Linked DNA regions of Macaca mulatta. The protein of the gene in region 5 interacts with the protein of the main gene of each other region in a pairwise test. Links are inferred from orthologs where the notes say so. Each region holds a gene or a part of one and is shown on either strand. Other genes may lie near its edges.

Region 1 (3,500 bases), on a different chromosome or scaffold from region 5:
CAAGGGTAGTAGGGAATAGATGAAACAAGAATGGCAAAATATTGATAATTTTTGAAACTGGGTGGTGGGGCGTAACTGGGTGGTAGACTACTATAGTAGTCTACTTTTGTATATGTTTGAACAGTTTTATAATAACTGTAGAATTTTTTTTCAACAGTTGGAAAAATAACTGTTAGGAACTATTTAATTTTTCTAAAAAGTGAAAAAGAAGTAGGGCATTGCTAGGAAAAGATAGATTTAAGAGGTTTTATCCGACCTAAAAAAAAGTGGTACAGTCTGTTTTCCTGGCTGCTTACTACCAGTATAGAGGAATAAATCCATATTAAAAACCAATAATAGCTTTATTGTTTTATTTCTATTCAGTATATTGGCATTTATAAAATTTAATGTGAAAATTCACATTAAGGTTTTTTCTGATTTATTACCATGGAATTTTTGTCTTCTGATAATAAAAGTGTCATTGAACTATATATAGTCTTAGCAGAGAAGATAATTAATAATTGTAGGGTTTGTCCTAGTTCCATATTATTGCAAAAATTATCACCAAAATAAAAAACATCTCTTCAGGTATTCAGTTGGTCTTTCATCTTAATTGTGTTTGACTTGAAATCCTAGGCTTTTGACCTATATGAACAAAGATATGCTGCTGTGAAGATACATCAGCTTAATAAAAGCTGGAGAGATGAGAAGAAAGAAAACTACCACAAGTAAATACTAATACTTTATGGTTTTTTTTAATTGAATATTTTTTGAATGGTCATGGAGAATTAATACACTGTCTTCCTGTAGACATGCCTGCAGAGAGTATAGAATACATAAAGAACTGGATCACCCCAGAATAGTTAAACTCTATGATTATTTCTCCTTGGATACAGATACGTAAGTGAATATTAAGGTTTAATTTTTAAGGAAGGATATGCTTACTCTGTCTTTCCCCATCCTGTGTTGATGATATAAATACTCTCCATTTCCCCATTGTGATTCTGAATTCTTGGATAATACTTATGTCTAATTTCTTTTCTCTTCTCTGTTGTAGGTTTTGTACAGTGTTAGAATACTGTGAAGGCAATGACTTGGATTTCTATCTGAAGCAACACAAGTTAATGTCAGAGAAAGAAGCTAGGTCTATTGTAATGCAGATTGTAAATGCACTAAGATATCTCAATGAGATCAAACCCCCTATTATACATTATGATCTTAAGCCAGGTAATTATGAAATTTGTCTAATTTTTTTTAAAACGAGTATAGTTTTTTAAAGTCATTAAGTTATCTGAAAACATGATTTTTGGTTTCACTTTTAAGACATCAGTAGAATACTAGTAAAATTTAAAGTTACTAAAGTTATGTTTTTCATCTATGTATCATTAAAATAATCTTATATTTTATTCTTAGGAAACATCCTACTGGTAGATGGAACAGCATGTGGTGAAATCAAAATCACTGATTTTGGTCTGTCCAAGATTATGGATGATGATAGCTATGGTGTAGATGGAATGGATCTAACTTCTCAGGGGGCAGGCACTTACTGGTAAGTATATTACTAAAAACATCAGAATGTCTAGATTAGTGCCCAGTGCTTTTATGATAAAATTTAGGTTTTTTTTTTTTCCATGTGGCCATTAAGATTACTGTGGTAAAAGGTACTGATATTAAACTCTCAGTTGAGAGGGAGACTTCTGTGGTCATTCCTCTTCTCATCTGTTCTTACTGCAAATAACAGCATACTGGAGAGAGAATGACTTGGCATTAACAAGTGACTTCAGTACCTGCCAGTCAGAAACTCCTAACAGGAAGAATTCATTCATGGGTTTTCTTCTACAATGTTAAGGTGATGTTTATCATAAATATGAATACGTACGTTAATATAATATTTTAACTATTGCAAGCAAAAACTGCAAGCATCAAGCCCTCTCTGTGGAGGTTATATGGTTGCAGGGATTTTCGTTTTATTTTGAGACAGGGTCTTGCCCTATCACCCAGGCTGGAGTGCAGTGGTATAATCTTAGTTCACTGCAGCCTCAAACTCCTAGGCTCAAGCAATCCGCCCACTTACTCTTGAGTAACTGAGACCACAGGTACGCACCACTATGCCCAGCTAATCTAAATTTTTTGTAGAGACAAGGTCTTAATTTGTTGCCCAGGCTGGTCTTGAACTCCTAGTATCAAGTGATCTGCCTCTCCCAAAGTGCTTGGATTAGAGGCATGAGCCACTGCACCTGCCTGGTGGTTTTTGTGGAAGATGGATGTTTTGTTGGTTGTGAATGGGAGATAAATTTGACATATTCTTTGGACTTGACTTTCAGAAATCCCTTTTAAAGACTTAGTATGTATAGATTTAAATTTAGATATAATCACAGATTCATAGATACAAATCTAAATGACTGTCATCCCCCTCAGTATACCTACATGTTCACAGAAACTGCTTCAGCGTGAATTTTCAAACTTGTTAAATTCACCAGAGTGGAGAACATAAACTATAAAATTTCAGAACAAACTTAATTCTCAGAGAAAATTAGCATAAACAGTGACATTTTAATGGGAAGAAAGATAACTGCGTTCAAGTTCATTGAAACGGGATTGTGACTACGAACATAAATGTGACCTCAGGTTTTCCAGAACAGTGTTCACACAGCCTGAGCACATCATAACCAGTTACACATGATGCCGCTGGTCTGTATAGATACCACTTTTAATGAGCAGGGATTAGTCATATTCGTGTATTCTTTTAAAGCCACTTTAAAATTTTAAATTTGGCTTGTGGCATTTCCTAGGAACATGGATAAGATAAGAATGTCATGAATTTTTTATTCATATTTTAAGAAAACTATTCAAACTGCTAACCCCCTGAAAGTCAATATTCTCAAAGTCTTTGGACTTTTTTAGCAACAAGGCTCTTTTTTTTTTTTAACAACAAAATCTTACTCTAATCAACAAAACCAACAAAAACAAAGCATCCTGGTAGATTCTTAGATTCCATGGAAGATAGCTTGAAAACCATGTTCTAAATAATAAATTATTCTTCCTCTACAGGACATTCTCAATATTTGTTTCTCTCTCACTCTGGCTTCACTAGTATAGGGAAGGACAAGGAAATTTCCCTTTTACAGATAGTCAAGAGACAAAGACCTTATGTTTTAGGGTCTGTACTGGAAGGAGATACAATGATGGCATTGTTATATAAGGACATGGAATGTATTTCTCAGGGAAATCTGTGGTCCAAAAATTGGTTTATGTCTACAGTCATATTAGTTGTTTAGCTATGTACAGCTGACCTTGAATAAAATGGATTTGAAATGCATGGGTCCACTTTTATGTGGCTTTTTTTTTCGATAAATACATTGGAAAATTTTTTGGAGATTTGCAACAATTTGAAAAATCTCACTGACGAACCATGTGGCCTAAAAATATTGAAAAATTTGGCTGGAGGTGGTGGCTCACGCCTGTAATCCCAGCACTCTGGGAGACTGAGGTGGGCGGATCACTTGAGGTCAGGAGTTTGA
Region 2 (4,293 bases), on a different chromosome or scaffold from region 5:
CCCCAATTTACCTTTCCAAGCCTGTTACTCTATTCCCCATATATACTCCCACTGTTTTAATCTAAGGATAATAAAAAAGAGAACTAAAATTCATTTAAGGCTTTTTTTGTGCAGAGCCAAATCTTAGCATTCTATATACTCTATAGATTATTTAATTCTTACATTAACTCTGTAAAGACAGTATTATTTCCACTGTCTTTATTATTTTAAAAATTATTATTTTAAAGATGGAGAAAATAAAATGCATAGATTTTAAATATTCTCTGTTTTCTTCCTAATACATGAAACTTCTTGTCCTTTCCTTTGCCTTTTAAACTTTGTTAAGGTTGTGCCTTTTGCCGCCTCCTTTCTTCCCTCTCCGTGTGTTTATGCTTCTTTCCAGGCCAATATAAAATGTCATCTTCCTTTTGAAAATTCTGTGTCCCTTCAAATTAGAATGACTCCTCAACCCCCATCAAACTTAGTTTTTATTTCATTTATAGTACTACTTTCTGCCTTCATTATTATTTGCCTACATGTCTTGTCTTTTATAAAGTTTGAATATCTGAAGAGCAGGATCTGTATCCTGAAGACCTCTTGTATCTAGTACAGAACAAGATACCTAAACTTAGATGGGTGGATAGATGAGTAGGTAGGAGGATAGATGCATGGAAAATGTGTATTTTCTGATCTAATGTTTTGCAGATTACCTAAAGCTAATCATCACAATTTTCTAAGTCTGTGGATGATTCCTAGGGCCCCAAACATGACACAGTAAACTCTATGACATGATGAAAAAAAAAAAAACAGCCTCCACACTTTTGCTTACATGGTTTTCTTTGCTTAAAGTACCTTTATCCCTCAGTCCTTCATTTCTTTATCTTAGGAGTGAAACTGCTTTTGGGAAGCCTTCCCCAAGTCTGTTAGGTGGAATCTATCATTCCATCCACTGTACTCCAGCAGAACATTATGTGGACCTGCATGTCACACTTACTCCTTTTACTGTGCGTAATTCTCCTGTGCTTTTCTGTTAGTGTAAACTGTAAGTTGTAAAACTCACCAAATATGAAAGTAATCATTAGCATTTATTAAAGTATACTACTTCCCTGGTGCTATATACTAAGCACATCATATTTATCTTGTTATTTAGCCCTTACAATAACCATTATTCTACAATAATAGATTGTTCTACAATAATAGAATAAGGTAGACACCATTTTTCTATTTTACAGATGAGTGATGGGGAAAGAGCTTTTGGAAGTTTGAGTTACTTCCTTATGGTCATGCAACTAAGTAAGTGTCTGAGATTCCAGAATCTGAATTATTACCCTCTATGCAGTGTTTTGTCTTGTTTGTTTCCCTGTCACCCTCACATGACACATAATAGACCTCAATAAAATAGTTAAGTAAGTGAATGACTGAACGACTGATCATAGCTATTCTCTAAATGTTTCTTGAGTGAATTGATTTATATAATCAGAGGAAAATGAATAATGGTTTCTTTTTCTCTTTAGCAGGAATTTTACCCTCTAGGGCATGAATACTGTGCTGTTCAGTTCTGAGCTGTGCTAGCAGTACCCTTCAAAGGAATAGCAATGGCTGCAGCAGCAGCTTCTCACCTGAACCTGGATGCCCTCCGGGAAGTGCTAGAATGCCCCATCTGCATGGAGTCCTTCACAGAAGAGCAGCTGCGTCCCAAGCTCCTGCACTGTGGCCATACCATCTGCCGCCAGTGCCTGGAGAAGCTATTGGCCAGTAGCATCAATGGTGTCCGCTGTCCCTTTTGCAGCAAGATTACCCGCATAACCAGCTTGACCCAGCTGACAGACAATCTGACAGTGCTAAAGATCATTGATACAGCTGGGCTCAGCGAGGCTGTGGGGCTGCTCATGTGTCGGTCCTGTGGGCGGCGTCTGCCCCGGCAGTTCTGCCGGAGCTGTGGTTTGGTGTTATGTGAGCCCTGCCGGGAGGCAGACCATCAGCCTCCTGGCCACTGTACACTCCCTGTCAAAGAAGCCGCTGAGGAGCGGCGTCGGGACTTTGGAGAGAAGTTGACTCGTCTGCGGGAACTTATGGGGGAGCTGCAGCGGCGGAAGGTAGCCTTGGAAGGTGTCTCCAAGGACCTTCAGGCAAGGTATAAAGCAGTTCTCCAGGAGTATGGACACGAGGAACGCAGGGTCCAGGATGAGCTGGCTCGCTCTCGGAAATTCTTCACAGGCTCTTTGGCTGAAGTTGAGAAGTCCAATAGTCAAGTGGTAGAGGAGCAGAGTTACCTTCTTAACATTGCAGAGGTGCAGGCTGTGTCTCGCTGTGACTACTTCCTGGCCAAGATCAAGCAAGCAGATGTAGCACTCCTGGAGGAGACAGCTGATGAGGAGGAGCCAGAGCTTACTGCCAGCTTACCTCGGGAGCTCACCCTGCAAGATGTGGAGCTCCTTAAGGTAGGTCATGTTGGCCCCCTCCAAATTGGGCAAGCTGTTAAGAAGCCCCGGACAGTTAACATGGAAGATTCCTGGGCCATGGAGGCGGCAGCCTCTGCTGCTTCTACCTCTGTTACATTTAGAGAGATGGACATGAGCCCGGAGGAAGTGGTTGCCAGCCCTAGGGCCTCACCTGCTAAACAGCGGGGTCCTGAGGCAGCCTCCAATATCCAGCAGTGCCTCTTTCTCAAGAAGATGGGGGCCAAAGGCAGCACTCCAGGAATGTTCAATCTACCAGTCAGTCTCTACGTGACCAGTCAAGGTGAAGTGCTAGTTGCTGACCGTGGTAACTATCGTATACAAGTCTTTACCCGCAAAGGCTTTTTGAAGGAAATCCGCCGCAGCCCCAGTGGCATTGATAGCTTTGTGCTAAGCTTTCTTGGGGCGGATCTACCCAACCTCACTCCTCTCTCAGTGGCAATGAACTGCCAGGGGCTGATTGGTGTGACTGACAGCTATGATAACTCCCTCAAGGTATATACCTTGGATGGCCACTGTGTGGCCTGTCACAGGAGCCAGCTGAGCAAACCATGGGGTATCACAGCCCTGCCATCTGGCCAGTTTGTAGTAACTGATGTGGAAGGTGGAAAGCTTTGGTGTTTCACAGTTGATCGAGGATCAGGGGTGGTCAAATACAGCTGCCTGTGCAGTGCTGTGCGGCCCAAATTTGTCACCTGTGATGCTGAGGGCACCGTCTACTTCACCCAGGGCTTAGGCCTCAATCTGGAGAATCGACAGAATGAGCACCACCTGGAAGGTGGCTTTTCCATTGGTTCTGTAGGTCCCGATGGGCAGCTGGGTCGCCAGATTAGCCACTTCTTCTCGGAGAATGAGGATTTCCGCTGCATTGCTGGCATGTGTGTGGATGCTCGTGGTGATCTCATTGTGGCTGACAGTAGTCGCAAGGAAATTCTCCATTTTCCTAAGGGTGGGGGCTATAGTGTCCTTATTCGAGAGGGACTTACTTGTCCGGTGGGCATAGCCCTCACTCCTAAGGGGCAGCTGCTGGTCTTGGACTGTTGGGATCATTGCATCAAGATCTACAGCTACCATCTGAGAAGATACTCCACCCCATAGGGGATGAGAAATATCATTTTCTTCTGCTCCCAAGCCAGCTTCCCTTCCCATAGTTCTTGGTTGTTAGTGGCACATAGAGAATAGACTCGGCATATGTCCTGATTCCAGCTGGGTAGTTCTAGAACTTTAGAAGCTCCATCTTTTTATGTTTTTTATTTGTTATTTTCCCCTCCCCACTTCCCACCTAAATTTAGAGCTTTAAAAGATGCACTGCCCAAATAGGACACGCAATGGTGTTAGCTGAAGTTTGATTAGCAATTAGGCACTTCCAAGGCTTTAGTAGAGAGAGCCACTTTAGCCCTTTGTGCCATGTTTGAAATGTGCCCTTGTATTAAATCCTTGATTTTTTCCCGTTTGGCTCTGATGCCCTTGATCCATTGTTTCCTTCCTATTACAATGTGCTTCATCTGTGACACTTTCTCTTCAACTCTGATTGGATTCACTGTGCATGCTTCAGTGGGATATGCTCCACCTTTCAGTGACATTTCAGACATATTCCTGTAACATTATGTCTCAGTCTGATCGTCTTTACCAGTGTGAAAGCTCATTCATTTAGTGCTACCAAAGGGGATACACAGGCCCTTTAGGAAGCAGTACCTCTCGCCTGGAGGATCTGTGCCATCTTGGATTGAGAACTGCAGATGTGACAGAATGGATTGACCCTAGTTGGTTGGTATTGACGACTTCAGCCTGGAAATTGCTTGCCTTTTAAAGAAGCATAATATGGATTGGAATTATGCCAAAGCATAGGAAGCTA
Region 3 (3,500 bases), on a different chromosome or scaffold from region 5:
GGGAAAATAAAACCAACACATATAAATCAGGACAAGTATTGTTACTGTGGTATTCAGAGAAGTGATGGCTGGGGTGAGTGGGACAGGTGAGTGCTATAGGAGTCAAAGGAGAGGTGCATAGATGAGGGTAGAGTAGTCAAGGATGGCTTCTCTGCAGATGCTAACATTGGAGCTACATCTAGAAGCCCAGGAGGATTTTTGAACTGAGGAGTGATGTGTTCGAAGAAATTCCTTATCATTTGGGGTTGAGAGTGGTATCTTCTGGAGTATCAGTAAGACCTTGAACCACACTGGTGAGGGTATGGGGAAGTGTCAACACATGAATCAACCATGAGTACATACGGATCCTCCTTCCTCTGTCAGCTTCTTCCTGTGAGACCTACGAGTACCCACAGCGTGGTGGAGAGAGTGCAGGCCGGTCTGCTGAATCCATGAGTGATGGAGTCGGCTCTTTACTGGTGAGTGTGGGTTAACCAGGGGTCCTCAGGCAGGCCTGGTTAGGTAAAAGGCCACACCTTATGGAACTAAAAGCACAACCCCAAAAAAGTGATGGCATCTCCATCTTAAGACCCTGCCCAAGTTCTTGTCTCAGTTCAGAACCCTGCGTTGAGTCTTTGGACAAGTAAGATACAAGTATTCTAGTCCGGAAGAAATGTATGTGCTAAGGTAGACTGGATTACAAGGTTCACCAACCTTATAGGTAAGCAGAGGGTCTAGAATGCAATAGACCCAGGCTGCACGGTGGGGGATCTTCTAAGGCAACAACCTTACCCACATGGCCTCACATATAGGAGGGAGGCTGCAGTGTGAGACTCCAGGCAAGGGTAGTACTCACAGTCATGCTAAGTGGCAGAATTATGGCTTGAGAGCAGGATCCCAGGCTGCCCTCTGGAAGATGCTAACACAGTTCTCCAACGTGTCAGGCAAGAAAACCAAGGCCTGGCTTCAGGCCCACTGGAAAGACAGTGAAATCAGGTAACCAAGGCAGAAGCAGCTTAGTTGTATGTCAGGGCACGTAGAACAAGAGTTAGAAGAAGGCTATAGCTTAGGGTGCTGTATTGCACAACTCTGTAGAAGCTCCAACTGCAGCTTGGTGGTCCCCTAGGTGCCTGGAGTGAGCCCCAGGTACTTAGGAACCTGGACTGGGGAAACACAACTGGCCCCAGACCTCACCTTTCAGAGCCAGGACTCCTAATATGCTCCTTGTTCTGATCCAGGGCCCGAGATGCTGACCTGCCAATGGTGAGTCTGGACTTGAGGTGGAGGGCAGGTCCTGAACCAAACCTACAGTCTATGGACTATGCTACCCACGGTGTTGGTCAGGCATCCAGAAAGCCAAGTGGACCCAGTCACCAAGAATATTTTATACTCTAGATTTATCAAAAATTATTGGTGGATGCCAAAGGATCATGAAGGCTTGAAGGGGCCCACAGACCTCATATATTCTTGTCTCCCACTCTGCTTCCTTTTATTTTTTATTTTTTGAAACAGAATCTCGCTCTGTCACCCAGGCTGGAGTGCAGTGGTGTGATCTTGGCTCACTACAACCTCAGCCTCCCAGCTTCAAGCGATTCTCGTGTCTCAGCCTCCTGAGTGGCTGGGATTACAAGCATATGTCACCACGCCCAGCTAATGCTTTGTATTTTTAGTAGAGAGGAAGTTTCGCCTTGTTGGCCAAGCTGGTTTCGAACTCCTCACCTCAAGTGATCCAACTGCCTTAACCTCCCACTACTCTGCTTTCTTATTTGGTCTCCCCAGGGTCTCCCTTACAGCTTCAAAGTGTAGCTAACCCAGTCATGACTTGTCTTGCCTAGTTTACAAAGTCTTACCTACTTCCTGTTTCTTCTTGCTAGTAACAGCTGTATTTCTTTCACTGTTCCTCTCCCTAGCCAGGGAAAATGACTGTGGGCCGATCAGACAGCACCAATTCTGAAGACAACTATGTGCCCATGAACCCAGGTTCTTCCACCCTGTTGGCCATGGAACGAGCAGGTGATAATTCCCAGAGCGTCTACATCCCAATGAGCCCAGGGGCCCATCACTTTGACTCACTTGGCTACCCATCAACAACCCTTCCTATGCACCGAGGCCCCAGCAGAGGAAGTGAGATCCAGCCACCCCCTGTCAACCGCAACCTCAAACCTGATCGGAAAGGTAAGTCCATTCTTTCCCCTGTCCCATCTCTGGACAATAGCTAGGGACTCTTTCCATTTGCTTAGGGGTCATGTGGATCCTTGGGATGTGTGACTTTGGGCAAATCATGTAAATTCTGAGTCTCAGTTTTCTTATCTGTGAAATGAAGATGGTAATTCCTACCTTCCAGGTTTGCTGTGAAGGAGAGCATCTAGGATAGTACTTTGGTACACAGCAGGCATTCAGTAAAGTCAGGTTTGTGCTCCCTGCATGTAGACCAGGCAAGTTACCAGTCTGCTGTGATCTCAAACTCTCCTGATCTTGGATTAGTGGCAAGGATTCAAAGGGAGGAGTAGGATAGCTGGGCAGAGATAGCCCCCTGTGGGTCTGACCAACAGGGAATTCAAATCTTAGCATGTGAAACTGAAGCCCTCAGGCCCTTGTGGCATCTACCTTCCTCCACTGTGGCTTGCACAGACCTGGCCAGGAGCAGCAGAGAGTAGTCACAGTGACCATCTCCACTTCAAATATGGTCTCTTGGCTGGGTGCCATGGCTCATGCCTGTAACCCCAACACTTTGGGAGGCTGAGGCGAGTGGATCACCTGAGGTCAGGAGTTTGAGACCAGCCTGGCCAAAACAGTGAAACTCCGTCTCTACTAAAAATGCAAAAATTAGCCAAGCGTGGTGGCAGGCTCCTGTAGTCCCAGCTACTAGGGAGGCTGAGGCAGGAGGATCAGTTGAACCCAGGAGGCAGAGGTTGCAGTGAGCTGAGATTGCACCACTGCACTGCAGCCTGAGCAACACAGCGAGACCCTGTCTCAAAGAAAATATATGTAAATATATATGTATATATAAATATATATTAATATCTGTATTATATATAAATATATCTTTATATATAGTCTCTTATTTTTAAATGAAGTCATAAATCGAGGGAGAAGAATCTGTTGTCAAACCCTGTGTCCTCATTTTTGATTCTGAAAATATAATTACCGTAGATACAGCAGAAAGAATATTTAATTTGGAGTCTGAAGACATGACTTCAAGGCCCATCAATATGGGCAAAGATTATATAACCTCGCTGAGCATCAGTTTCCCTGTGTGAAACTGGAATGACTTTGCAGGCCTTTATAAACATGCTCATGTGTTATATATAAGTTGTGTATGTGTAGCATTATTACTGGCTGATTACCAGACTTTCTTTTCCTGCTCCAGCAAAGCCAACACCACTTGACCTGAGAAACAACACTGTCATCGATGAACTCCCCTTCAAGTCACCTATCACCAAGTCTTGGTCTAGGGCCAGGTGAGTGCCTATGTGTGGGGGTGGGAGCTTGGAGTCAGCCCATTAGAGAAGATGAGTGAA
Region 4 (4,290 bases), on a different chromosome or scaffold from region 5:
AAGGAAATGAATGATGGATGGAAGTTCTGTAATGGAAATACAACCATGGGCAAAGTGATAGAGGAGGGGTGGGTAGGAAACCCAATTTAGATGAGGTGGTCACTTAGACTTCTTTGAGAAGGTGGTATTTCAGCTGAGTCAGAAGGGTAGATGGAGCAAGCAGTGCATAGATGGCCAGGCTGGCAGGTAGAGCATTTAAAATGGTTCAAAGGTCCTCAGGCCAGGGGTGACGGGGTAAAGCAGAGACTAGCTACCATTTGCTTCATCAATCTTTTGGTGTGGGTGCCGAGGAGCATGAATAAGGTGAAAGACTGCTCCTAAGGAGATACATTAAAGGTGACACATTTGCCTACAGTAGCCTTCAACTTTGCAGACCAACAGTAATGGGAGTCCAGTCATACGCTTCTGCATGTTAGCCAGAACCTTCTGCTATGTTCTGAATTTGGCCTAAATTGAAGGATTCAAATATCATCTCAAACAACTTTTCCTCCTACAGACAAAGGTGAAGATTCAGGAGCTCACAGCCTCAGGGGGCAAAGCACAGATAAGAAAATCCAGGTGATAAGCGGCAGTTAACAGTGGCCCATACCAGGGACTTGCGCTCACAGAAGAGTTTTGAAGGCCTGGAATGCGTTTGAAGATGAGTTCATGAGCAGACAGAAAGGATTCCACTAACAGCGGAGAAACGCAAAGGTCATGTGTTTTTAGGGACCTCCAAGTGGTCGGTAAGGTTGGGGTCAGTATTAGTTTCTTTGCCTGTAAAATGGGGACAATAAGAATTCCTCGTCCCTTAACTATTCTCCACAGCAAGAAACCTTAAAGGTAGAGAAGAAAAGATAAATCTGTTTTCACAGTAAGTCCTTGTTAGTCACCAAAGATTGCAGGATCGCAGCAGGGCACACTCATCTGTACAGAACCAGTCTCCAAATGGGCGGTGCAAGGTGCAGCTCCACCTGCTCCACCACTAGGTGCAGAAGAATGTCTACGGCAGGGAGTTCTCAACTTGTGACCTTGGGTCTGCGGGGGTCTAGATGGACTTCAGCTGGCGCCCGTGTCGCATGTGAGTTTCCTGGGTAGTAGTAACCCCAAAAGGGCCGCGACGTCTACAGAAGTGCCACTACTTGGAATTCTCGTCCATGGCCACGTTCTCACTGCTGGGAGAAACAACAGGGTCAGGTCTAACACTCCTTTCTCGGATGCATGGGCGAACAGAAATATCCCTGGCCTTCACCTAATCGTGCCCTGAGAACACTTCCCCCGGGTAAGCAGTCACCACACTGATACTCCCACAGAGCGAAGTGCCGGAGCCCGTCGCCGGCGATTGCGCATCTCGTCGCGGAGAGCATTATGGGGTTGGTAGTCCAGACTGAGGCGCAGATAGCGGTCCTCGAAGCCATAGAACCACACTTCCCAGCAGGGCCCGCGCAGCAGGGCACGCAGAGTGTGTGCGTAAGCGACCAGATTTCCGGGGGAGCCGGGGGCGGGACTTCAGCGGAGGCCGGAGCGAGGTGTCGGGATGCAGCGCCCCGGGCCCTTCAGCACCCTCTACGGGCGGGTCTTGGCCCCGCTGCCCGGGAGGGCCGGGGGCGCGGCCTCTGGCGGAGGAGGGAACAGCTGGGACCTCCCGGGTTCCCACGTGCGGCTGCCGGGGCGTGCACAGTCCGGGACCCGTGGCGGTGCTGGCAACACAAGCACCAGCTGCGGGGACTCCAGCAGCATCTGCCCGGCCCCCTCCACGATGTCCAAAGCCGAGGAGGCCAAGAAGCTGGCGGGCCGCGCGGCCGTGGAGAACCACGTGAGGGTGAGCACCTGGGGACGTGGGGCGCGGGAAGCATGTCCTCGGCGTGTTGGGCTCCTGTTGCGCTTTCTGGGTGCTGCCGAGGCGCGCCTACCTCCTGGCAGGGCGGGGGCTGAGTGAGAGGGTAGAGAGTGTGCATTTTACCCGAGTTTAGACCCCTCTTCCTTGCTCTTTAGAGACCTTTTAGATGTGGAATCGGTTGGGGGCGAATCTTCTAATATTTGAGGTTTCGAAAGACTCCTTGTCTAGCTGGAACAGTTTGCAAAGTGGAGCCTGGTGTTGTCTCATGTTTGGAATGGGGGCTAGAGGCACTTGCCTTGTGGTCTCCTTATCAATAAATGGAAAATGGTGGGCTTTGGGACTGCGGAGAGGTTTTCATTTCTCGTTACTGACCCGGAAGCCGGCGGAGAGTTGGTTTGCTAGTGCTTTGAAATTTCAGTCGAATGTGGTTCTGGGCTTGGTGCGCGCCGGCCCCTGAGTGAACTCCTGGAGGGAAGGGAAGACCGGGACTTCAAACTTCCTTCTTTCCATAGGGCGGGGTGGACTAAGTCTGGAGGATGCTGGTTTATTTTTTAAGGCGGGGCTGCAGAGATGTTTAGCTGTTATTCGGCCAGGTCGTGGTCCCTACTTGTTTGTTAAGTGGCATGGTGCTGTTAGTGGAGTTTTTTTTTTTTTTTTTTTGATCCAGGTGGTTTTGCTGTCAGCAATCAAGTTAATTATCTTATTTGTAATAAGGAAGCCAAGTAGAGTATGTCTGCCCTGTGGTGTAGTTTCCTTGGTCTTACTGGTTTTTTATTTCTCATTTCTACTTATTAGAAAGTGGTATTAGAGTCTCTTTTCTTCTCTGATAATAGTTCTTTACATTTGTTAATGCTTTACTCAACAAAATTATTTTGCTTAGATGATGTTTGATGAGCTTCACCACAGCGTGTTTGAGTGGGAGTGGACAGTGTGGTAACCTGTGGCTCAGCCAGTTCTGTGGGAGGGATGTTCCAGTGTTCCCTTCTACCCTTTCCACTGCTACCCTGTTCTGGTGTAGCCTGTTGCAAGTCTGATTGGCAATAGGATTTTCTATGGGGATTAACAGAGATAATGTAAAATGTGTTAATTTGACCCTACCGTTGAGATTCAGTGCCTCAGTTGTAAAAGTGAGACAATAAGCTGAAATTTCAAAATGTCTGCATAAAGTGAATAGCTAATAGTTAAATGTAATCCGCATGAGAATACAATTAGAAAAGCACCGTATCTAAGTTGTTCAGTTAATGAATTTATGTTAATATTTGGTGGCACATCTCCCTGACCTTTGTGTTATAGTTATGTATTTGATTAAATAAAAATCTTCAGGCCCTGACCTTAGGCTAGAGCCCCAAAACACTGGATTCTGACCACATTTCATGAAGTTAGGCGATTTTGGGGAGATCTACAGTGACCTTTTGGGGGCACCTGTTAAAGGCATATATGCCCTTCAGGGTTTGGCTTAAAGTCCATTTCCTCCTTTCAGTTTTTCCTTAGCGTCCTAAGGAGAGGAAGAATTCTTTTCCGCGATTCTGTAGCACTTCACGCCTCTTATGTGCTTTATGTTGTATCTTATATTTTGGTCATCTGTGTGTTCATTTCTTCCAGCCCCTTAAACGGTAAGCTCCTGGAGGGCAGTTAACTTTCATTTAGCATTGGTCACAATGGGGCCTGCCCAGTACATGTATGTTCAATTGTGTGCAGTGTGGACACAAATATGAAAGTGTTGGGGTTATTGGAGGTTCTTTGTGTAGAATCTCTGGCGAGTAGGGCTTCCTGTTCCCTAGTCCATTGGAGTTCCAATATGTCGACCACTTCCATGTCTGGGTGGATGGAAAACATGGAGAGTTCTCAGGTGAATCCTTTGTATAGCCACCCTGGGCCCAGCTCTGTCTGTTTCTGGGGGTGTAGCTACCCAGGATGGGCCGCCATTCAGAACTAGGCTCTTCTGAACGTCTGTAGCCTCATCCCTTTGTTCTCTTTGGAGCCTAGGCTTTGTTTTTTTGACTGGCTTGGTTGAGGAAGCTGATGGGCGGTGGTTCTAGTTGGTTAGCAGAAGTAGTATTTCCAGAGTTACTCCATTTGACAAGCTGAGGGAAGTTCTGATGTTGCATATACGTGTGGTTTAATATTGCCCATTAGAATGGGGCCACTCCTCTAGCAGGGCCTGCTTGGCAGTCTTCTGCTGTTGGGCCACCTCATAGGCAGCCTTTGGTCACCTCTGGTTGGCTTTGGCAAAGACACTGATTCCTGGGCCAGTCATTTGATTCCAAGGCAGCAGGGATCACATGGTTGAAGAGCTTTAGGCCTGGCAGGGCCTTGCAATTCCTGGTCTCTTCCAAAAGGCAAAGAAGGAACCTTACACAGAGCTTGTCTGATTCATCCGAATTCACCTCTGTGCCACCTGCCTGCTGGGGACTGTGAGTGACCTGAATGTATGGCTAAGCTTGGTAACCAGGAATCTGGTGATTGAATGA
Region 5 (3,500 bases):
GCCTCCTGGGTTCAAGCCATTCTCCCGCCTCAGCCTCCAGAGTAGCTGGGATTACAGGTGTGTTCCACCATGCCCAGCTAATTTTTGTATTTTTAGTAGAGATGGGGTTTCACCGTGTTGACCAGGCTGGTCTCAAACTCCTGACCTCAGGTGATCCACCTGTCTTGGCCTCCCAAAGTGCTGGAATTACAGGCATGAGCTACCATGCCTGACTTTTTTTTTTTTTTGAGACAAAGTCTCGCTCTTTCGCCTAGGCTGGAGTGCAGTGGCCACAATCTTGGGTCACTGCAACCTCAGCCTCCTGGGTTCAAGCAGTTCTCCTGCCTCTGCCTCCTGAGTAGCTAGGATTACAGGCATGTGCCACCATGCCCGGTTAATTTTTGTATTTTTTTGTAGAGACTAGGTTTTACCATGTTGGCCAGGCTGGTCCTGACCTCCTGACTTAAAGTGATCCACCTGCCTGGCCTCCCAAAGTGCTGGGGTAACAGGCGTGAGCTATCGCGCCTGGCCTGAGAAATCTCATTCTTACTCCTACTCCTTTGTACCACACTATCTCCATCCTGTAGGTAGCCATTTCTATTAATTTCTTGTTTATTCTTATGTGTTTCTTTCATTCTTTTTCTTTCTTTTTTTTTTTTTTTTTTTTGAGACAATCTTGCTCTGTTGCCCAGACTGGAGTGTAGTGGCACAATCTTAGCTCCCTGCAACCTCCGCCTCCTGGGTTCAAGTGATTTTGATGACGCAGCCACCTAAGTAGTTGGGATTACACCACCGTGCCCAGCTAATTTTTGTATTTTTAGTAGGGATGGGGTTTCACCATGTTGTCCAGGCTAATCTCAAACTCTTGACCTCAAGGGATCTGCCTGCCTCGGCCTCCCAAAGTGCTGGGATTATAGGCATGAGCCACCATGCCCAGCCCTATGTTTCTTTTTACAAAAATAAGCAAATTTATATTTTTATTACTATTTTCCTTTTATTTTTACACATCAAGTAGAACATTAAATATATTTCTTTGTAATTTTTTTTCACTTACCTAAATCTTTTAGTGATCTCTCTCATCTTTTTAATCAGCTGGATAGCATTCTATCATGTGAATATTTCATAACTTCTATATACTGTCACCAGCAGGTAGCGATTTAGTTGTGTCCAGTATTTTAAAATGATACATAATGCCTCCATGAATGTAGTAACCTTTTGCATATATTGTTTTGTGCTTTGGGATAACACTACCTCATATTCAAAACTGTGTCATTACATGTGTCTTTAAAATTACATGTGTCTTTTTATTTTTATTTTTATTTTTTTTGAGTCAGAGTTTCACTCTTGTTGCCCAGGCTGGAGTGCAGTGGCGTGATCTCAGCTCACCGCAACCTCTGCCTCCCAGGTTAAAGCAATTCTCCTGCCTCAGCCTCCCCAGTAGGTGGGATTATAGGTGCCCGCCACCACGCCTGGCTAATTTTTGTATTTTTAGTAGGGACGGGGTTTCACCGTGTTGGCCAGGCTGGTCTCGAACTCCTGACCTCAGGTGATCCTCTCACCTCAGCCTCCCAAAATGCTGGGATTACAGACGTGAGCCACTGTGCCTGGCTATCTTTTTTTTTTTTTTTTTTTAATTGCTGCATAGTAGCCCGGCACGGTGGCTCATGCCTGTAATCCCAGCACTTCGGGAGGCAGAGGTGGGCAGATCACGAGGTCAGGAGACGGATACCATCCTGGCGAACAGGGTGAAACCCTGTCTCTACTAAAAATACAAAAAAAATTAGCCTGGCATGGTGGCGGGCACCTGTAGTCCCAGCTACTTGAGAGGCTGAAGCAGGAGAAGGGCGTGAACCTGGGACGTGGAGCTTGCAGTGAGCCGAGATTGTGCCACTGTACTCCAGCCTGGGCGACAGAGTGAGACTCTGTCTCAAAAACAAAAAAGCAAACAAACAAACAAAACAAACAAATTGCTGCATGGTATCCCATTGCATGAATAGTAACAGCAATTTTTGCAATGCATAGTATTCCATTGTATGAATAGTAATGTAACACAATTTGTTTATACATTTTTATGATTAAAAAGCAAAATGGTTTTTGGTAGCTATTCAGTTATTGTTACTTAATATATGCAATTCGATAGGCCAGTCTTTCAAAATAGAAGATATACCAGATAGGTCGGGCGTGGTGGCTCACGCCTGTAATCCCAGCACTTTGGGAGGATCACCTGAGGTGGGTGGATCACCTGAGGTTAGGAATTTGAAACCAGCCTGACCAAAATGGAGAAGCCCCATCTCTACTAAAAATACAAAATTAGCCGAGCGTGGTGGCGCATTCCTGTAATCCCAGCTTCTCAGGAGGCTGAGGCAGGAGAATTGCTTGAACCTGGGAGGCGAAGGTTGCAGTGAGGCAAGATCACGCCATTGCACTCCAGCCTGGGCAACAAGAGCAAACATATGCAAGGTAAACAAAAAGACCTTTGTGTTGAGTTGGTTGATTATGTGGTTATTTCACCCATCATATTTCTTATAGGGAATGGGTAAATTCGTTTCTTGGGTTTCTTTCAACATTTAGATGAAGTCTGACGTGGAACATGAGATCTGATTTTACTGGTGTAACTCGTTATTTGTCCCCTTGCCTCCCTTTCCAATGGACTATTTTAGAAGAAATGGAGCTGTCACCCACATCAAGATTCAGAACACTGGTGATTACTATGACCTGTATGGAGGGGAGAAATTTGCCACTTTGGCAGAGTTGGTCCAGTATTACATGGAACATCACGGGCAATTAAAAGAGAAGAATGGAGATGTTATTGAGCTTAAATATCCTCTGAACTGTGCAGATCCTACCTCTGAAAGGTCAGTAACATTTTAGTGACCACAAAGTCTGCTGCTCCCTTGTGCCCTATGTGTCAGAAATGCATGACTGAGGTCTGTGTATGACTTTCTGACTCCAAAGGCTTGTGACTGTTTTTTGAGCTGTAATCTTTAAAGAATTATTAAAGTGAGACTAATAGCATCAAATTATTTTCAGAGTACCTTTTTCTTGCAAAAGTTTTAATCAGTGTTACTTACACTCATCCTATGGGGATTGCATAGCATTCCTGCATATACTTGGTTACATGTATTAGTTTTAAGACTTATTGAACTTTGGCGGATAATCTTTGAGAGTTATTAGAAGAAAACAAATGATAATGGAGACACCAAAATAGCAGCAGTTTTCTATGGTGGCTCTCGACCAGTTATTCAGCAGTGCCACCAACAGATGTCAGTTTAAGCTCAGAAGTGGAAAAGCAGAGAGCTCAGAGGGTCAGCTTTTTCATCAATTCTTTTAATGTTATCTCCACAATTATGTGAGAGTGACCTTACTTAGAGAGAATTGTGTTATTTTCAAGATCTGTCCCCCTGTATTGGAACTAGCCTGATGAAAGCATGGGCTTGACTTATTTATTGATTGTATTTGTTTTGTACACTCCCAGTCTCCTCTCTGACTTGGTGCAAATTCAGGATCTCTTAGTTTGTATA
Region 6 (3,500 bases), on a different chromosome or scaffold from region 5:
TCAGGAGATCGAAACCATCCTGGCTAACACGGTGAAATCCCGTCTCTATTAAGAAATACAAAAAACTAGCCGGGCGAGGTGGTGGGCGCCTGTAGTCCCAGCTACTCGGGAGGCTGAGGCCGGAGAATGGCGTGAACCCGGGAGGCGGAGCTTGCAGTGAGCTGAGATCCGGCCACTGCACTCCAGCCTGGGCGACAGAGCGAGACTCCGTCTCAAAAAAAAAAAAAAAAGATTATGTGATGTGTGAAGGCAGAGCCGCGATTGGCACTGATGTTATTAATGCACAGCATTGGTGGTGGTGGGTTCAAAACAAGTTTCCTCTATTCCACTTGAGAAGTGTGTTTATCTGTCCCCCCAGTCCTTCCTTTCTCTCTCCTAAGACAAGTCCAACTTATGATTCTCCTTTCCATGGATGTATATAAAGACAATATTTTGTTCATGGTGAGAGGCCATGCTTTATAAGAAGTTAATGTTTGTTTTTTGCCTCCTACTGAGTTCTGGCGGAGTTGGGTGAAGGAGTGTCCAGCTGACAATATGATTGAATCATAAAGGCTGGCTTTCTATCTTACAAGTGAAATGTCCGAAAACAGATTTGATTTCTTTCAATTCATTCTGAGAATAATTTATTTGTGGGATAAAACCAGTTAAGTAAGATTTAGTTCCTTATAAATTGTCCAGAATATCCTGTATGTTTTGAAGTAGAGTGGAAGCTAGAGTTTGTAAAACCAGTTTCTGAAGTCAGTATTTGGCAGTAAATGCCTTTCTTTGACTACTGTCTTTATTTTGTAAATCACATAGTTTGGTTTAACTAGCTAAAATGTTGACAGATGTTGGAAAGTAAAAGGTTTTCCAATAGGGCTAGGTTGTATCATGGGGTGGAGCGGGGAAAGTTGGCAGTAATGTTTGCTGTTGGGCACACGATTTGGAAATGTAGTTGTTTACCAAAAAATGATGTATGGGCCATTGTGCTTCCCCTGTTCCTGCCTTCCAGATAATGTTCTGTGTCACCTCCCTCCCCTTGTCACTGCCTTGATGTCATCAGCATTGAGAGCTGTGCAATCCCTAAAAGTGTGGTGTTGATAAACAAGTAAACTACTGAGTATACTTAATGATGTAATCCCTGTTAAACGTGGTGGCCGGGCTAGGAGAGGGGTTTTGACACAGAATTATTTTGCAGTGCATCAAACCTAAGCAACTTCTGACAGACACATGTGTATATTGTGTTGGTTTTGAAGGAAGGGCTGGAAATTTGTTGATGTGTTGACAAAGATTTCTGTGGCAGTAAATGTGGTTTCTTGTGTTTTTCCCTTCCAGGAAGCTTGGTTAGCTGGTTGGTTGGTTTGCAGAGTGTGAGGATTGTGGATAATCAGCCTCATGTCCTTACCCTTCCTCCCCCAGTATTGTGAAAGCAAATGTACATGCCCTGACCTTGTGGTTTTCTGCTTGTTGGAATGAACCTGTCTGTGTTGGGCAGTTTATGCCTTTGGTGGGACCCCCATGTGCCACTACACAAAGAAGGACCATGTTTTCCTCAGGGGAATCCATGGGCTGAGAAGACTAGGGAGCCAGAGGCCCTTTCCCCAAGCCCCCTGCTCTCCCCTTCCCAGGTTCTGGCCTAAGGACCAGCCAGAAACCTGCCGAGCGTCAGCCAAACCTGCAAGTGGCTTCTGGGCTGCTCCGTTCCCTGTGTGAGCTTTCCCTGTCTGCTGCTGCTGCCGCTCTCCCCTCCATGGCACTGATGAGCTTCCCATGTTCTGGACTTTCTCATTTCCCTGGGCAGATGGAATTCATCCCATTTACTCCCTGCCTTTTGCCTATTCCTAAGACCAGTGACCCCAGCCAAAGGCCTCAGCCCTGTTTTCTCACCATTGGTCCGTGGCTGACCTGAGGGTTGCCCTTTCTCCATCTGGGTGCTCCTCTCGTATTCTGTTTGTTTTTGTTGGTTCCTGTAAACATTAGGATTCTGTTTTAAGGTTTCTAGGGGGAGCCACAAAGCCCATTTTTTCGTATTTGACCAAAGCAGCAATTAGAGGGTCACATCCTCATGCCTCATCTGCCCTTTTCGGTGTGAATGTCCTCTTTGTGATGACTTTATGCACTCCCTTTTGCTTTTTGGTTGTTCCAGTCTCCATTCAAATCCATGACAAAGACTCTGCCCTCTCGTGGGCAGGACCTTGGTGAGGCCACAGGTGCTCACTGCTGAGTTGGGAGGAGGCCTGGGTGGGCTTCAGGGACCTGCAGAGTGTAGCAAGCACAGATGCTTGGGGTTGGGGGTGGGCCCGCAGCAGAAGCCCCCAAGAAGAGACCTGAGGTCCGTGGGTTGCTAGGCTCCAGGCATCTTTATTTCCACAGTCAGAGCAGATCCAAGGAGCCACCACCATAGGCTTTCATATCCCTCTGCCCCAGGTCTCTGGGGCCTCTGCCACACACCTCACCTCTCCCCTCCTGCCCTAATAAATCTTAGCGCAGCTGGTAGGTTTGCCACCTTTAATGCTTAACCGTAAGGTCTGTGACCAGATGGCTTGAGTGTTCTGATGACACAGCCAGGACTGCCTGGCCAAGAATGGCAGAGACACTGTTTGCCTCTAGGTAAAATCGAAGAACCACTCTGAGAGCCAGGGGGTGGGGGTGAGAGTTTGTGTGCCCATTCTGACACTTGCATAGTAGAAAAAGCAAGATAATGAGGAAGGACATCCCCGTGTTATTCATGCGTTCTTATCCAAGGGGGCTGAATAGCTCCTTCTATTCCATGGTTAAGATTCTTCTGTTACTCTTACTCAAGTCATAGAAAAGACGAAAGAGGTAAAAGCACTTAAAAGCCACATTTATCTCTTCCTTGCAGACCTGAAAGGAAGCGGAGAGATGTCATGCAAGTGGCCAACACCACCATGTCCAGCCGAAGCAGGAACACCACGGTGGCAGACACCTACAACATCACAGATCTGGAAGAGCTAGAGACAGAGTACCCTTTCTTTGAGAGCAGAGTGGATAATAAGGAGAGAACTGTCATTTCTAACCTTCGGCCTTTCACATTGTACCGCATTGATATCCACAGCTGCAACCACGAGGCTGAGAAACTGGGCTGCAGCGCCTCCAACTTTGTCTTTGCAAGGACTATGCCTGCAGGTACGGTATATCCGGGTGGCCCCATTGCCACCTTCCTCACAACCTAGTGGAGAAGATGTGTTTTATGGACAAAGGGTCTGACACCCAGGGCCACAACCCTTAGACTGAGGTCTGCCTGCTAAATAACGTGCGATCATTGGCAGGTGGCGTAGTAGACCAGCTGCCTAGGGAATAGAGCTCATGCTTTCCTAGTGACACCACTCCCAGCCTGGTCTCTCCGTGGAACATGCTGGGAGCAGGGAGCTGTCTGCATGGTCCGCCCTCCACCTGCTACTCGGTGCACATCGTGCACTCCCACTGTCTTTTGCCCCTCTTGTGCACAAATCGGGTTGCGGGGCCCCCCCCCAACCCCGAGCTCTGACATATTCAGAGAT

Evidence for each region.
Region 1: the proteins of PTPN11 (region 5) and TLK1 interact in binary tests that used the Homo sapiens proteins (3 or more experiments, as listed by UniProt). The link is inferred for Macaca mulatta from reciprocal best matches to the Homo sapiens genes PTPN11 and TLK1.
Region 2: the proteins of PTPN11 (region 5) and TRIM32 interact in binary tests that used the Homo sapiens proteins (3 or more experiments, as listed by UniProt). The link is inferred for Macaca mulatta from reciprocal best matches to the Homo sapiens genes PTPN11 and TRIM32.
Region 3: the proteins of PTPN11 (region 5) and GAB2 interact in binary tests that used the Homo sapiens proteins (3 or more experiments, as listed by UniProt). The link is inferred for Macaca mulatta from reciprocal best matches to the Homo sapiens genes PTPN11 and GAB2.
Region 4: the proteins of PTPN11 (region 5) and RPIA interact in binary tests that used the Homo sapiens proteins (3 or more experiments, as listed by UniProt). The two-hybrid records come from large-scale screens. The link is inferred for Macaca mulatta from reciprocal best matches to the Homo sapiens genes PTPN11 and RPIA.
Region 6: the proteins of PTPN11 (region 5) and IGF1R interact in binary tests that used the Homo sapiens proteins (3 or more experiments, as listed by UniProt). The link is inferred for Macaca mulatta from reciprocal best matches to the Homo sapiens genes PTPN11 and IGF1R.

What each region holds. Positions count from the first base shown.
Region 1 is NC_133417.1:75,961,108-75,964,607, reverse strand, and holds part of TLK1 (serine/threonine-protein kinase tousled-like 1), read left to right. Parts: intron 1-615; coding exon 616-707; intron 708-789; coding exon 790-879; intron 880-1,036; coding exon 1,037-1,206; intron 1,207-1,392; coding exon 1,393-1,528; intron 1,529-3,500. UniProt on the Homo sapiens protein: Rapidly and transiently inhibited by phosphorylation following the generation of DNA double-stranded breaks during S-phase. This is cell cycle checkpoint and ATM-pathway dependent and appears to regulate processes involved in chromatin assembly.
Region 2 is NC_133420.1:41,594,681-41,598,973, reverse strand, and holds the start of TRIM32 (E3 ubiquitin-protein ligase TRIM32), read left to right. Parts: upstream 1-1,493; 5' UTR 1,494-1,574; coding exon 1,575-3,536; 3' UTR 3,537-4,293. UniProt on the Homo sapiens protein: E3 ubiquitin ligase that plays a role in various biological processes including neural stem cell differentiation, innate immunity, inflammatory resonse and autophagy.
Region 3 is NC_133419.1:78,650,759-78,654,258, reverse strand, and holds part of GAB2 (GRB2-associated-binding protein 2), read left to right. Parts: intron 1-363; coding exon 364-458; intron 459-1,889; coding exon 1,890-2,154; intron 2,155-3,349; coding exon 3,350-3,440; intron 3,441-3,500. UniProt on the Homo sapiens protein: Adapter protein which acts downstream of several membrane receptors including cytokine, antigen, hormone, cell matrix and growth factor receptors to regulate multiple signaling pathways.
Region 4 is NC_133418.1:25,423,322-25,427,611, reverse strand, and holds the start of RPIA (ribose-5-phosphate isomerase), read left to right. Parts: upstream 1-1,490; 5' UTR 1,491-1,516; coding exon 1,517-1,801; intron 1,802-4,290. UniProt on the Homo sapiens protein: Catalyzes the reversible conversion of ribose-5-phosphate to ribulose 5-phosphate and participates in the first step of the non-oxidative branch of the pentose phosphate pathway.
Region 5 is NC_133416.1:119,689,569-119,693,068, forward strand, and holds part of PTPN11 (tyrosine-protein phosphatase non-receptor type 11), read left to right. Parts: intron 1-2,639; coding exon 2,640-2,834; intron 2,835-3,500. UniProt on the Homo sapiens protein: Acts downstream of various receptor and cytoplasmic protein tyrosine kinases to participate in the signal transduction from the cell surface to the nucleus. Positively regulates MAPK signal transduction pathway. Dephosphorylates GAB1, ARHGAP35 and EGFR.
Region 6 is NC_133412.1:89,165,284-89,168,783, forward strand, and holds part of IGF1R (insulin-like growth factor 1 receptor precursor), read left to right. Parts: intron 1-2,842; coding exon 2,843-3,126; intron 3,127-3,500. UniProt on the Homo sapiens protein: Receptor tyrosine kinase which mediates actions of insulin-like growth factor 1 (IGF1). Binds IGF1 with high affinity and IGF2 and insulin (INS) with a lower affinity. The activated IGF1R is involved in cell growth and survival control.